3 linked regions of the Macaca fascicularis genome follow. Each later gene encodes a partner of the first gene's protein in a complex. Links are inferred from orthologs where the notes say so. Each region holds a gene or a part of one and is shown in the gene's direction. Other genes may lie near its edges.

The links.
Region 2: the proteins of RHEB (region 1) and MTOR are in contact, whole or in part, in a cryo-EM structure (PDB 6BCU), measured with the Homo sapiens proteins. The link is inferred for Macaca fascicularis from reciprocal best matches to the Homo sapiens genes RHEB and MTOR. Residues at the interface, in NP_005605.1 of Homo sapiens: Lys5, Ser6, Arg7, Lys8, Arg15, Pro37, Ile39, Glu40, Thr42, Gln57, Ala62, Asp65, Tyr67, Ile69, Gln72, Thr73, Ser75, Ile76, Asp77, Asn79, Asp105, Met106, Val107, Gly108, Lys109, Val110, Ile112; in NP_001373429.1 of Homo sapiens: Arg62, His69, Glu73, Ala101, Thr102, Ile104, Gly105, Arg106, Asn109, Tyr110, Arg112, Asn113, Phe140, Glu143, Tyr144, Phe147, Glu154, Arg160, Thr969, Gln973, Phe977, Lys980, Glu1010, Phe1011, Gln1014, Met1018, Ser1050, Thr1051, Asn1264, Lys1293.
Region 3: the proteins of RHEB (region 1) and PDE6D are in contact, whole or in part, in a crystal structure (PDB 3T5G), measured with the Homo sapiens proteins. The link is inferred for Macaca fascicularis from reciprocal best matches to the Homo sapiens genes RHEB and PDE6D. Residues at the interface, in NP_005605.1 of Homo sapiens: Pro2, Gln3, Ser4, Gln57, Asp77, Gln176, Gly177, Lys178, Ser179, Ser180, Cys181; in NP_002592.1 of Homo sapiens: Ile53, Leu54, Cys56, Val59, Val80, Gln85, Cys86, Leu87, Glu88, Glu89, Trp90, Ile109, Glu110, Ala111, Ala112, Pro113, Gln116, Met117, Met118, Leu123, Tyr149.

What each region holds. Positions count from the first base shown.
Region 1 is NC_088377.1:192,792,998-192,796,989, reverse strand, and holds the start of RHEB (GTP-binding protein Rheb), read left to right. Parts: upstream 1-1,179; 5' UTR 1,180-1,391; coding exon 1,392-1,443; intron 1,444-3,992. UniProt on the Homo sapiens protein: Small GTPase that acts as an allosteric activator of the canonical mTORC1 complex, an evolutionarily conserved central nutrient sensor that stimulates anabolic reactions and macromolecule biosynthesis to promote cellular biomass generation and growth.
Region 2 is NC_088375.1:223,546,788-223,550,758, forward strand, and holds the start of MTOR (serine/threonine-protein kinase mTOR), read left to right. Parts: upstream 1-1,169; 5' UTR 1,170-1,265; intron 1,266-1,601; 5' UTR 1,602-1,694; intron 1,695-3,953; exon of another isoform or gene 3,954-3,971. UniProt on the Homo sapiens protein: Serine/threonine protein kinase which is a central regulator of cellular metabolism, growth and survival in response to hormones, growth factors, nutrients, energy and stress signals.
Region 3 is NC_088386.1:127,657,593-127,661,105, reverse strand, and holds part of PDE6D (retinal rod rhodopsin-sensitive cGMP 3',5'-cyclic phosphodiesterase subunit delta), read left to right. Parts: intron 1-447; coding exon 448-573; intron 574-1,290; coding exon 1,291-1,396; intron 1,397-3,513. UniProt on the Homo sapiens protein: Promotes the release of prenylated target proteins from cellular membranes. Modulates the activity of prenylated or palmitoylated Ras family members by regulating their subcellular location.

The sequences.
Region 1 (3,992 bases):
CTTCATTCCTCCCTACCGATCACTGGGAAAGGGCGAAGGGCCATGCCCGGCCTCTGCAGGTCCCCACTGCCAAACAGCCTCGGCAGAATAGGGGCGGGTTCCCCGGCGCGGCGGAGCCTCTGCTAACTCGGCAAGTGCCAAGCCCACCAGCAGCCACCACTCCGGGCCTGCCTGGAGGCTCGTCCCTCAACGGCACCTGCGTTCCCGGCCCGGATTCTCTTCCCGCGCCCCTCTGCACTGCACCCCTGGGAAGGCTGTGCCCACACCGCGGCCCGAGGCGTTCCTGGCACCCGGCTCCGGCCTGCCCGCCGCACCAGCCGCCCTGGCGCTGGCGGAGAACCGGCTTCCCGCCCCGGCGTTGTTCCAGGATGTGCGCCGAGCTCCGCGCGAAGCGAAGCAGACACCAGAACTGACGAGGCTCGCCCTGTTTTTAATGAAATTCCTAACACTTTGAATTAACGCAGACTCCATGCTTCCCACAGTCCTTCGGCCGTGGGTGACGCTTAGTCACCACTACATCCTCAAACCCAGACACGAACGCTAACGCAGCTCAAGGGGAATTTTCAAAAAAGCCCCGAGGGAGGAGCTAGCCCAACCACCGCCCGCCCCGGCCACGAGCCTCGCGCCCTTCACGGGCTCAGCGGGCGCGAACCAGCCAACCGCTCAGCTTATCACCAATCACCGCACCTCCCACCTATTGCCCCGCCCTGCGCTCCGTTCCGGCCAATCACCGGGGAGCCACCGTTTGTCTCTCCGCCTCTCCCGCCCGCCCCCAACCGGTTGGAAGTTTGAAGCCTTCAAACCTCGCCGGCGCCCAACCGCGCTGTAGCAGCGCGGTGTATTTTTAGCTCCTGGGTGGCCAGCCCCGCCTCCTCCGCCCCGCCTCCTTGCCTCCCCCAATGGGAGATGGAGTTTCTGACACGTCATCGCGCGGCTGTGCAGGTGCCGTCCAATCGGCGCTCGGGGAGAATGGCGTAATTAAAAAGCGGCGGAAGAAGGTGGGAGGGTCATGACGCAGCGAGTTTCAGTCGTGACTTTTCTGGGGGCATCGCGGCGTCCCCTTTTTTTGCCTTTAAAGTAAAACGTCGCCCCGACGCACCCCCGCGTATTTCGAGGGGGCGGAGGCGGCGGGCCACGGCGCGAGGAGGGGCGGTGCTGACGCCGGCCGGTCACGTGGGTGTGTTGTGGGGGGAGGGGCGCCGCCGCGCGGTCGGTTCCGGGCGGTTGGGAGCGCGCGAGCGAGCGAGCGAGCGAGCTAGAGGCAGCCGCGCCCGCCGCCGCCCCTGCTCTGTATGCCGCTCTCCCCCGGCGCGGCCGCCGCCGATCGCAGCAGCAGGAGCCGCCGCCGCCGCGGTTGATGTGGTTGGGCCGGGGCTGAGGAGGCCGCCAAGATGCCGCAGTCCAAGTCCCGGAAGATCGCGATCCTGGGCTACCGGTCTGTGGGTGAGTGGCCGGTGGTCGCGCGGCCTTCTCGCGCCGCCGGGGCCTCGCCTGGAAGCCGGGTCGCTGCCGGGCCTGCGAAGTTTGGAGCCGGCGCGGCCATGTGGCGGGGCGGGCGGGGGCCGCGCGTTTCGTAACCACCATTTTGAGCGGAGGTGGTGGCGGTCGGGGCGGCGTCCGCACCGGTCGAGGAGCTGCGGTAGCCGGGCGCCCTCCGCGGGCCGGGCGGGCAGGTGGCGGCCGGGCGGAGGGCGTGGGAGGCGCGGGGCGGGGGCCGCCGGCCGCCGAGGAGTCCGGGACTCGTCTGGGGAAATGAGGCGGCGCCAGGGAGCCGCGCTAGAGGCTCCCGCGAGGAAGGAGTCACACCTGCCTCCCCGCCTTCGCCGCGGGCGCGCGTGACCGGGGCTGGCGGTCTCCCCCACCCCGCCCCCGATGCAAGGAAAAGAAAGTCCGTGGGATTTTAACAAAGGAAGCAGCACCTCGGCTTCATTCCATCTGTGGTGAAGTTTACCCTTGTAAAGAAAACTAGGGACTTAGAGAACGTTTGGTCTCTGAACGCAAGTTTTGTACATAGGAAACCTAGGCGAGCCCCCAAAAGAGGCCCCTCTGGAGGCCCTGGAGATGCTGCTGGCGGCCCGGGTAGGAAGGCAGAGAAAAAGGAATGTCTGATCTCTCAGTGGCCTATATTTCTTCGGGAAGGAATAAGGTCAGGTACTTGCAACCACGCTGTTGAAGTAATTCCGAAGTCTTTTTGTTTTCTTTTTCTTCCCCCAAAAGGTTGACGTACATTTGAAACGGTTCCTAGCGTCGCCTTACTGCTGAATAAGGTGGCTTAGGGTCGGGTTGGGGGGCGGACGGGGTGTCACAGAACAAGCGGTTTTCTGGCCTGTGAGAAACCGGAGCGATCGAACTTAGACACGCTTCAGGGTGAGGCTGTATTGTCTGCCGACATCCGGAAGCCTGGAGAAATTACGTTCATCTTTTCGGGCTGTTTTGAAGCAACTGTCTATAGAAGACGTGCGCCGGGCCACATTTGGGGGGATGGGGAGGTGAAAGCGAGGGTTCAAAGGCTCCGGTGATTGCGGAACGGGGTGACAGCATGTGTCGTGGGAAGCTTGTACCTGCCAGCCGCTCGCGGGATGCACTCCCCAACTGCGCTTTCCACCGCCGGTGCCAGGGTCTGTGCTCTTTGACCAAGATCAGCCACTGCATGCTTACTCATCCTTTTACTACCTCTCCGTCGAGAGCTGGAGGAAGTCAAGGGCTGAAAGAAGCTTGGCTAGAGATGCGGGGTGCCCAGAGTCGTAGGGGGAACTCTTGTGCGATGCGGTGCTGCAGCCAGGAAGTAACCACGAATCAAATGGAGGGGTTCAAAGTCACTAACTGTTCAAATATCTACATGGAACCTGGGATCCAACCTTTATTGGCAGCCTGAATCCATGCTCTTGTCTCTGTTCTCTTGATTTCCTCCTCTGCATTTTGAGGAGTTGGGAGCGCGAGGTGTCCTGGCTCTTGGGTGAGCCCTCCCTAGTCAGTCAAGTAAGTACTTATTGCCAACTATTTGAAAATAGCCCCTGAATAATCACATTATGGTCAAGTACCTCGGCTACTTGATTTCAACCCAAGAGAATGACCTAAAGATCCTGACTGATTTACCCTTTTAAAATGTTGAAATGGTAGCTCTAGTCTTTGGTAAGCAGGGCTAGTTTTATCACTTTTTGGTGGTTTTTTGTTGTTGTTGTTTTTTTGTTTTTTTTGCTAAAGAAGTTCCTTGTGTCCAGTTGAAATCCATTCTGTTTTATCTTCCCCTCTATTCAGCTTCCTCCTGAGGACGGAGATGTGACAGGACACCCCTTAGCCGTCTCTTCACAAACATTATTTTAAAGTGCTGCTTGTTAAATACTGTGCTAACTTAGTCTTCGGTGGGTTACAGGGTCACTTTTAGTCCCTATTTTGTGTCTTCAGTATTTCATATTTCTGCAACCTACCCCACTTCTCCATACTTATTTTCAAGCGTAGTCATATTAAACGATTTTGGAGAGGTTAAGTTGCTCCCAATCTTGTATTTGATTTTTTTTTTTTTTTTTTGAGACAGAGTTTGGCTCTTGCCACCCAGGCTGGAGTGCAATGGCGCGATCTTGGCTCACTGCATCCTCCACGTCCAGGGCTCAAGCGATTCTCCTGCCTCAGCCTCCAGAGTAGCTGGCACTACAGGCATGCACCACTACACCCGGCTAATTTTGTATTTTTAGTAGAGACAGGTTTCACCACATGGCCAACCCTCAGGCTGGTCTCAAACACCTGACCTCAGGTGGTCCTCCCACCTTGGCCTCCCAAAGTGCTGGGATTATAGGCGTGAACCACCACACCCAGCCCCATTTGATTTTAAAGTGTATTATGAGCCGGGATATTTTGTAGTTTGTGGGGTCTTTTGCAGGGGAAGGAGATTAGGTTTTGCCAGCAGGTTTCGTCTAGTAAGCCACCCTTTTGAGGATTACTCAGCATGCTCACTTCTGGGAGCTTGCAAATGGTGCTATACCAGAGAAATCTGA
Region 2 (3,971 bases), on another chromosome or scaffold:
ATCCACTTTTGCTATTGATTTCTTTTTTCTTTTTTTCCAATTTGTAGAGACATTGTCTCACTATTTGCCCAGGCTGGTCTGGAACTCCTGGCCTCAAGCGATCCTCGTGCCTCAGCCTCCCAAAGTGCTGGGATTACAGGCGTGGGCCACTGTGACCAGCAGCTATTTATTTTCCTTGGTATGTATGTATGTATGTATGTATGCATGCATGCATGCATGTATGTATTCATTGAGACGGAGATTTCTCAGTCGCCCAGGCTGGAGTGCAGTGGCACGATCTCAGCTCACTACAACCTTTGCTTCCCGGGTTCAGGCGATTCTCGTGCCTCAGCCTCCCGAGTACCTGGGATTACAGGCGTGCGCCACAATGCCCACCTAATTTTTGTATTTTTAGTAGAGACGCGGGAGAGTTTCACCATGTTGGCCAGGCTGGTCTCGACTCCTCCTGACCTTAAGTGATCCGCCCGCCTCGGCCTCCCAAAGTGCTGGGATTACGGGCGTGAGCCACCGCGCCGGGCCAGCTATTGATTTTTGAAACGATTAAAAAAATATAATGTTTCTTTGAAACTTTTTATTTATGAGTAGCTCTTTTGGTTAAAACTTGGCTATGGTTTCTCTGGAATGATCCTGAATTGGATAATTTTGGGAAAGTGAGAAAATCTAATTAAAAACATTTTCAAATGCTTATTAAATGTAACAAAAGAGAAATCATAGGATCCATAAAGAGCGCTAGCCCGAAACGTCTTCTGATGCAGTAATTCCTGGGCGCCAGCATTGCTCACACTCTCCTCTCAGAATTACACCGGGAGGGGTCGCGAACCTCTGCTAGCCGCTCTTGGTGCGATCCGGAGGTACCCAGACAGCGGACTCCCTGAGTTCACAGCCCGGATGCAGAGGGGAATCCTAGCAGCGCCGCACCGGATGTATGAGTGGAAGTGACTGAGGTCAACTCACGACCGATTGGTTCTCCCGAGTGGACCCAAGCCTGTTTTCAGCTGTCACTGGCCGCGTGGTTTGTCTATTTGAATAGTCCCCGCCCCCTGGAGAAGCCGGGTCCTGAAGCTTCACTTCTTCTTCATTACTATTGGCCTGTTTTTCAGTCCATCTTCTTCCTGTACGTGTCGATTGGTCCTCAGGGCTAGGAACCCTCCTTCCCTCGCTCCCGGTTTAGAGGACAGCGGGGAAGGCGGGCGGTGGGGCAGGGGGCCTGAGGCGGCGGTAGCGGTGCTGGCGGCGGCAGCTGAGGCCTTGGCCGAAGCCGCACGGTGAGTCTAGGGCCTGGAACGACCCCTCTGAGGCGGCGTAATGTCCAGACCTACGGCCAACCTGCCCGTGGGGGGGCAGGGGAAGCCGCCCGTCTGGGACGTGGGGTCCCCACACTGCCGGCCCCACGACCTGGGCATCGTCTGAGCCCTTGAGTCCCACCCCTCGAGGCAACGCCCACCTCCCCGGGACCCCCAAGAGACCCCTGCACCCTTCGGCCCGCGGTACGTCCCCCGAAGGCCGGTCCATCAGCTCTGGTACTGCCCTTTGGGTCTTTTGCCCGTTACAGCCACCCTTTTTTCTGAGCCACGTACAAAAATTTTGTATCTCTGCCCCAGGGAACACCAGCGTCCGTGTCAGCCCCTTATCCTCCACCGTGGACACTTCTCAGAGACCCAGTCACCGAAACTGAGCTCGGTTACATCGTTGGGGTACATCCTCTCGCCTTCTCCCCCAGCCCCATCCCTGTTTCTCCCATCCAATTTTAACTTACTTAAGCCCTATCAAGACCCTTAGGATGTTTGACTTCAGATATCCTAAGTTTAATTGAATTCAGCCTGGAGCAGATGGCCTGTGGGCCTCAGACCGTATGAAGTTACACTGGTTCTTTCCTGAGCCTTTCCTTGCTAGCCTCCTTCCCCCCTTTCATACACACACACATACACACAAACTGGAGTAGTTTTCTTAGTAGGGATTCTTAAGTTTCTTCTCCCCTAAAGGATGACATTTCTTTCTGCAGTCTTCTTCTTGGCACTGGAGTATTTGAAAGCTTTTCAAAACCAATTATTCCCTGTTTTTCCTCTGTGCCTTACAAATTGGTTCAAAAATAAGAATTTTGAGAAATTGGTTTTGTAGCATAAGCTGAACATACTTAGGATAGGTATATGTTCCACCCATAGCAGTGTGGGCATAATTGAGGAATGAAGGAATGATCTCAGAAACTAATTGGTTTCTTTTAGCTTACATTTGAAGTGCTAGTCCCCTGTAGAACTGCATTGTTCAGTACAAGAACCACCAGCCACATGTGGCTGTAGAACACTTGAAATGTGACTAGTTCAGGTGGCTCACACCTGTAATCCCAGCACTTTGGGAGGCCAAGGCGGGTGGATCACCTGAGGTCAGGAATTTGAGACCAGCCTAGCCAACATGATGAAACCCCATCTCTACTAAAAATACAAAAAAAAATTAGCCAGGTGTGGTGCTGCACATATGTAGTCCCAGCTACTTGGGAAGCTGAAGCAGGAGAATCATTTGAACCCAGGAGGTGGAGGTTGCAGTGAGCCAAGATCACGCCACTGCACTCCAGCCTGGGTGACGGAGAGCAAGACTCTGTCTCAAAAAATAAATAAAAGTGACTAGTCCAGATTGACATTGTCGTAAGTGTAAAATGCACATTAGATTTTGAAGACTCGCTACAAAAAAAGAATGGACACTATATCAATTTTTAAAATATTGATAACATGTTGAAATGATATTTTGGATATATTAGTTTAAGTAATTAATTTCACCTGTTTCTTTTCACCTTTTAAAATATGGCTACCAGCAGCTTTAAAATTACATTTGTGGATCACTGTATTTCCTTTTTTTTTTTTTTTTTTCAATTGGGATGGAGTTTTGCTCTTGTCGCCCAGGCTGCAGTGCAATGGCGCAATCTTGGCTCACTGCAACCTCCGCCTCCTGGGTTCAAGTGATTCTCCTGCCTCAACCTCCCAAGTAGCTGGGATTACAGGCACGCACTGCCATGCCTGGCTAATTTTGTATTTTTGGTAGAGATGGAGTTTCACCATATTCCCCAGGCTGGTCTCAAACTCCTGACCTCAGGTGATCTGCCTGCCTTGGCCTCCCGAAGTGCTGGGATTACAGGCGTGAGGCACTGTGCCTGGCCTATATTTCTATTAGACAATGCTGCTGTGGAATAATAATCTCTCTTTTTAGACTGAACTTGAGCAAAGGGGCAGTCTTAGTCATTTTTGATTCTTTCCCTACCTCCCCACATTTGTTACCTGGCACTGTGCCGTGTACATAGTAGTAGTAGTAATAATAATAGCTAACAATTATTAAGAACTCAGTATATGCCCTGCACTGTTTTAAATACTTTTTGACATGTATTAACTCATTTAGTCCTCACATCAACCCATGAACTAGGTACTATTATCTTCCTATTGTAGTTGAAGAAACATTTTTAGTGTCTTTCTCAAGGTATATAACCTTGTTTTTGTTTTCGTTTGTTTTTGTTTGAGACAGTGGAGTGGCAGGATCTTGGCTCAGGGCAACCTCCCGTCCCAGGTTCAAGTGATTCTCCTGCCTCAGCCTCCCGGGTGGCACATGCCACTACGCCCAGCTAAGTTTTGTATTTTTAGTAGAGATGGGATTTCACCATGTTGGCCAGGCTGGTTTCGAACTCCTGACCTCAGGTGGTCCTCCTGACTCGGCCTCCAAAACTGCTCAAGGTATCTAACCCAAGGATTCAAACCCAAGTAGGCTAGCTCCCATAGCCCGCAATTTGACCCTCCCTACCACACTGCCTCTTTTAAACATCAGTCATTGTTTAATGAATCTAGGCTTTCTAAATGTTCCTCAATAAGATCTCTCAACCTTTTTAGAATCCCCTGCCTGACAAGGGCTTGGGGGAGATCTGTGTTGGATGACCAGGGCCATAAGTAAATTTATCACCATACTTTCTTGTTTAGAATATTAAAGGAAACTTC
Region 3 (3,513 bases), on another chromosome or scaffold:
CTCCCACTTCCCAAAACCCATTTTGTGCTGAAATTTTACCATTAGAACATACCCGAAGATAGAAACTGAGATCTCAACTTTTTTCTCCAAAAGAAAATTTGCGTTTTTATCTCCCTAAAGTAAAGAAGAAGTAAGGGGTTAAAATCACCAGAACAGAGTAGAGAGAAGGTACCCGTGCAGCCCCCTTCCTGATGAGAGTAGCTAGATGAGGCCCTTAGATGCACAAAACCTGGTGTTCCTTGAAGATCTAATATTTTTCAGATATGAGTGACCAATTAGAGTCCTCTGCTTTCAGCCACACAAAGTGTAGTGCACTTACCAAAGCATTATCCAAAATGTAATAAAGTGTTCTCTAAATCAGCTATAAGAAGCTCCCAGAAATTTGAAGCATCATAGTCATGTGGTTTTCATTTAGAATGGCTTCAACATTTGTTTTTCTCTTACCAGCCCGTGTTCCCAAGAAAATCCTCAAGTGCAAGGCCGTGTCTCGAGAACTCAATTTTTCTTCAACAGAACAAATGGAAAAATTCCGCCTGGAACAAAAAATTTACTTCAAAGGGCAATGCCTAGAAGGTATTCTGCTGCCTGCATGCCTGAAATCAGGGCTTAGGGGGACCAGGACAAAAGGCAACAATACCCAGTGAACTAAAGCAGTGCTTTGATAACATTCCTTTTACAACTCAGTTTGTGGTAGGATTCCTACACTCTGCAAGACTGTGAATCCCCAGTGAAAACAAACCAAAACAAAGCTGGCCACTGCAAGGGGCTTTGAGGTCTCTGACACTGGGAGCATGGATGGTGGTACCTGGTTTAGGCACTGACATTGTATTGTGATATGGTCATGGAGGAAGCTGCTATGAGCAGGGCCTAGTACAGTGCTCTACATACAGTATCATACAGATTTGACTGGCCACTCTGCATTGAATTCTCACCATGCAGTATAAGAGGGCACATAAGCCCCTTCAAGCTAGTCCAAGAGAATTGAGCTATGTATCTATGTATAGTTCACATCTAGCCTACCTCTAAGAAAATGCTGCTTATGTTGTGTCCTGGTCACTGGTCCTAGTCCTTTAGACCTCAAAGCATGAGAAGCAAGGCTTTGGTGTAGTTCAGAGGACAACCTGAGGAGCCTTCCCTGTCTTTTTTATGCCTCTGGTCTGAGAGGTTGCTGATAGCTTCCTTCGGTGGTTCTCAGGGTAGGAAGAGGCTCACTCTAGAGGAGGGAGACAAAGAGCCCTTAAACTTTATACTGGGGCACCTGCTCACCCCGGCTTTTCCTTCTTCCTTCAGAATGGTTCTTCGAGTTTGGCTTTGTGATCCCTAACTCCACAAATACCTGGCAGTCCTTGATAGAGGCAGCACCCGAGTCCCAGATGATGCCAGCAAGCGTCTTAACGTGAGTGAGCAGGTCTCAGGAAATTATGAAGTGTGTCTAGAAACAGGCATTCCAGGCAGGTGGGACTCCTGGTGCCATTGAGTGGGCAGAGAGCTCAGTTGAGAAATAGAGTAAAAGAGTATCCGAGGGCCGGGCGCGGTGGCTCACGCCTGTAATCCCAGCACTTTGGGAGGCCGAGGCGGGCGGATCACAAGGTCAGGAGATCGAGACCACGGTGAAACCCCGTCTCTACTAAAAATACAAAAAATTAGCCGGGCGCGGTTGTGGGCGCCTGTAGTCCCAGCTACTCGGGAGGCTGAGGCAGGAGAATGGCGTGAACCCGGGAGGCGGAGCTTGTAGTGAGCCGAGATCGCGCCACTGCACTCCAGCCTGGGCGACAGAGCGAGACTCCGTCTCAAAAAAAAAAAAAAAAAAAAAAAAAGAGTATCCGAGGGTGTCTAGGTTTCCAGGTTCCTGACCTTTTTCATATGAAAAAGACAGTATGATAGAGTGGAAAGAATAATTAAAAAAAAAAAAAGAAAAAAAAAAACTTTAGATTAGACCAGATTTAAATTCCTGATTCACACTGACTACCTGTGTCATCTTGGGCACTAATACACTTTATCTCTCTGAGCCTTAGTCTTTCATCTCTAAACACAGAAATTAATTCTCTCTTACAGAGGTGTAATGAAGATAAAATGCGATGGCATGGAAGGAGACTGGCATTTAATATATACCGAATCTATGTTAATTTGCTCCTATTCCTGACTACCATACTTCCAGTATCTCTGTATTTTGTTTAGATCACCTTTAACAGAATCTGGCAAAGTCCTATTAATAATTCTGTTTTCAAGGATACTTGGTTACAATTTTTTGGTGAATAGCTTACCATATTAATAGCTTTGGTTCCTGTTCAAAGAACAGTTTGTTTGTGCTTTGTCCAAAAACACTGTCAATAACTTCCCACCTCCCATTGTCTGTGGGAAAGGTGTTAGTCTCTCAAGTGTTATAGTAATAGTACCTTCTAAAGAGTTAGTCCCAGCCGGGCGCGGTGGTTCAAGCCTGTAATCCCAGCACTTTGGGAGGCTGAGACGGGCGGATCACGAGGTCAGGAGATCGAGACCATCTTGGCTAACACGGTGAAACCCCGTCTCTACTAAAAAATACAAAAAACTAGCCGGACGAGGTGGCGGCGCCTGTAGTCCCAGCTACTCGGGAGGCTGAGCCAGGAGAATGGCGGGAACCCGGGAGGCGGAGCTTGCAGTGAGCCGAGATCCGGCCACTGCACTCCAGCCTGGGCGACAGAGCGAGACTCTGTCTCAAAAAAAAAAAAAAAGAGTTAGTCCCAAATTAGCTGGGCATGGTGGCACACACCTGTAATCCCAGCTACTCAAGAGGCTGAGATAGGAGAATTGCTTGAATCAGGGAGGTGGAGGTTGCAGTGAGCCAAGATCATGCCACTGCATTCCAGCCTGGGTAACAGAGCAAGACTCTGTTTCAAAAAAAAAAAGAGTTAGTCCCACAGATAATTGTGTAATATTGGATCATCTCTTTCAACAGTTCCTTTATGAAAGCCATATTGAATTTGTTAAAAATTGAGGTTATTTACTTTTAGGTTTTTTGTTTGTTTTGGTTTTGGGTTTTATTTTATTTAAAAAAAAAAAAAAAAAAAAAAAAAAAAAAAAAAAACCAGGGTCTTGCCATGTTGCCCAGGCTGGACTCCAGCTCCTGGGCTCAAATGATCTTCCTGCCTCAGCCTCCTAAGTAGGTGAGACTACAGGCATGTGCCACTATGCCTGTCTCTACTTTTTAAGGTTTTTTTTTTTTTTTCTTTGAGACAGAGTCTCTCTCTGTTGCCCAGGCTGGAGTGCAGTGGCACAATATTGGCTCACTGCAACGTCTGCCTCCTGGGTTCAAGTGATTCTCCTGCCTCAGCCTCCTAAGTCACTGGGATTACTGGCACCCACCACCATACCCGGCTAATTTTTTGTATTTTTTAGTAGAGACGGGGTTTTGTCTTGTTGACCAGGCTAGTCTTGAGCTCCTGACCTCAGGTGATCCACTCGTCTTGGCCTCCCAAAGCGCTGAGATTACAGGCATGAGCCACCGTGCCCAGCCCCTTTTTAAGTTTTTAATAG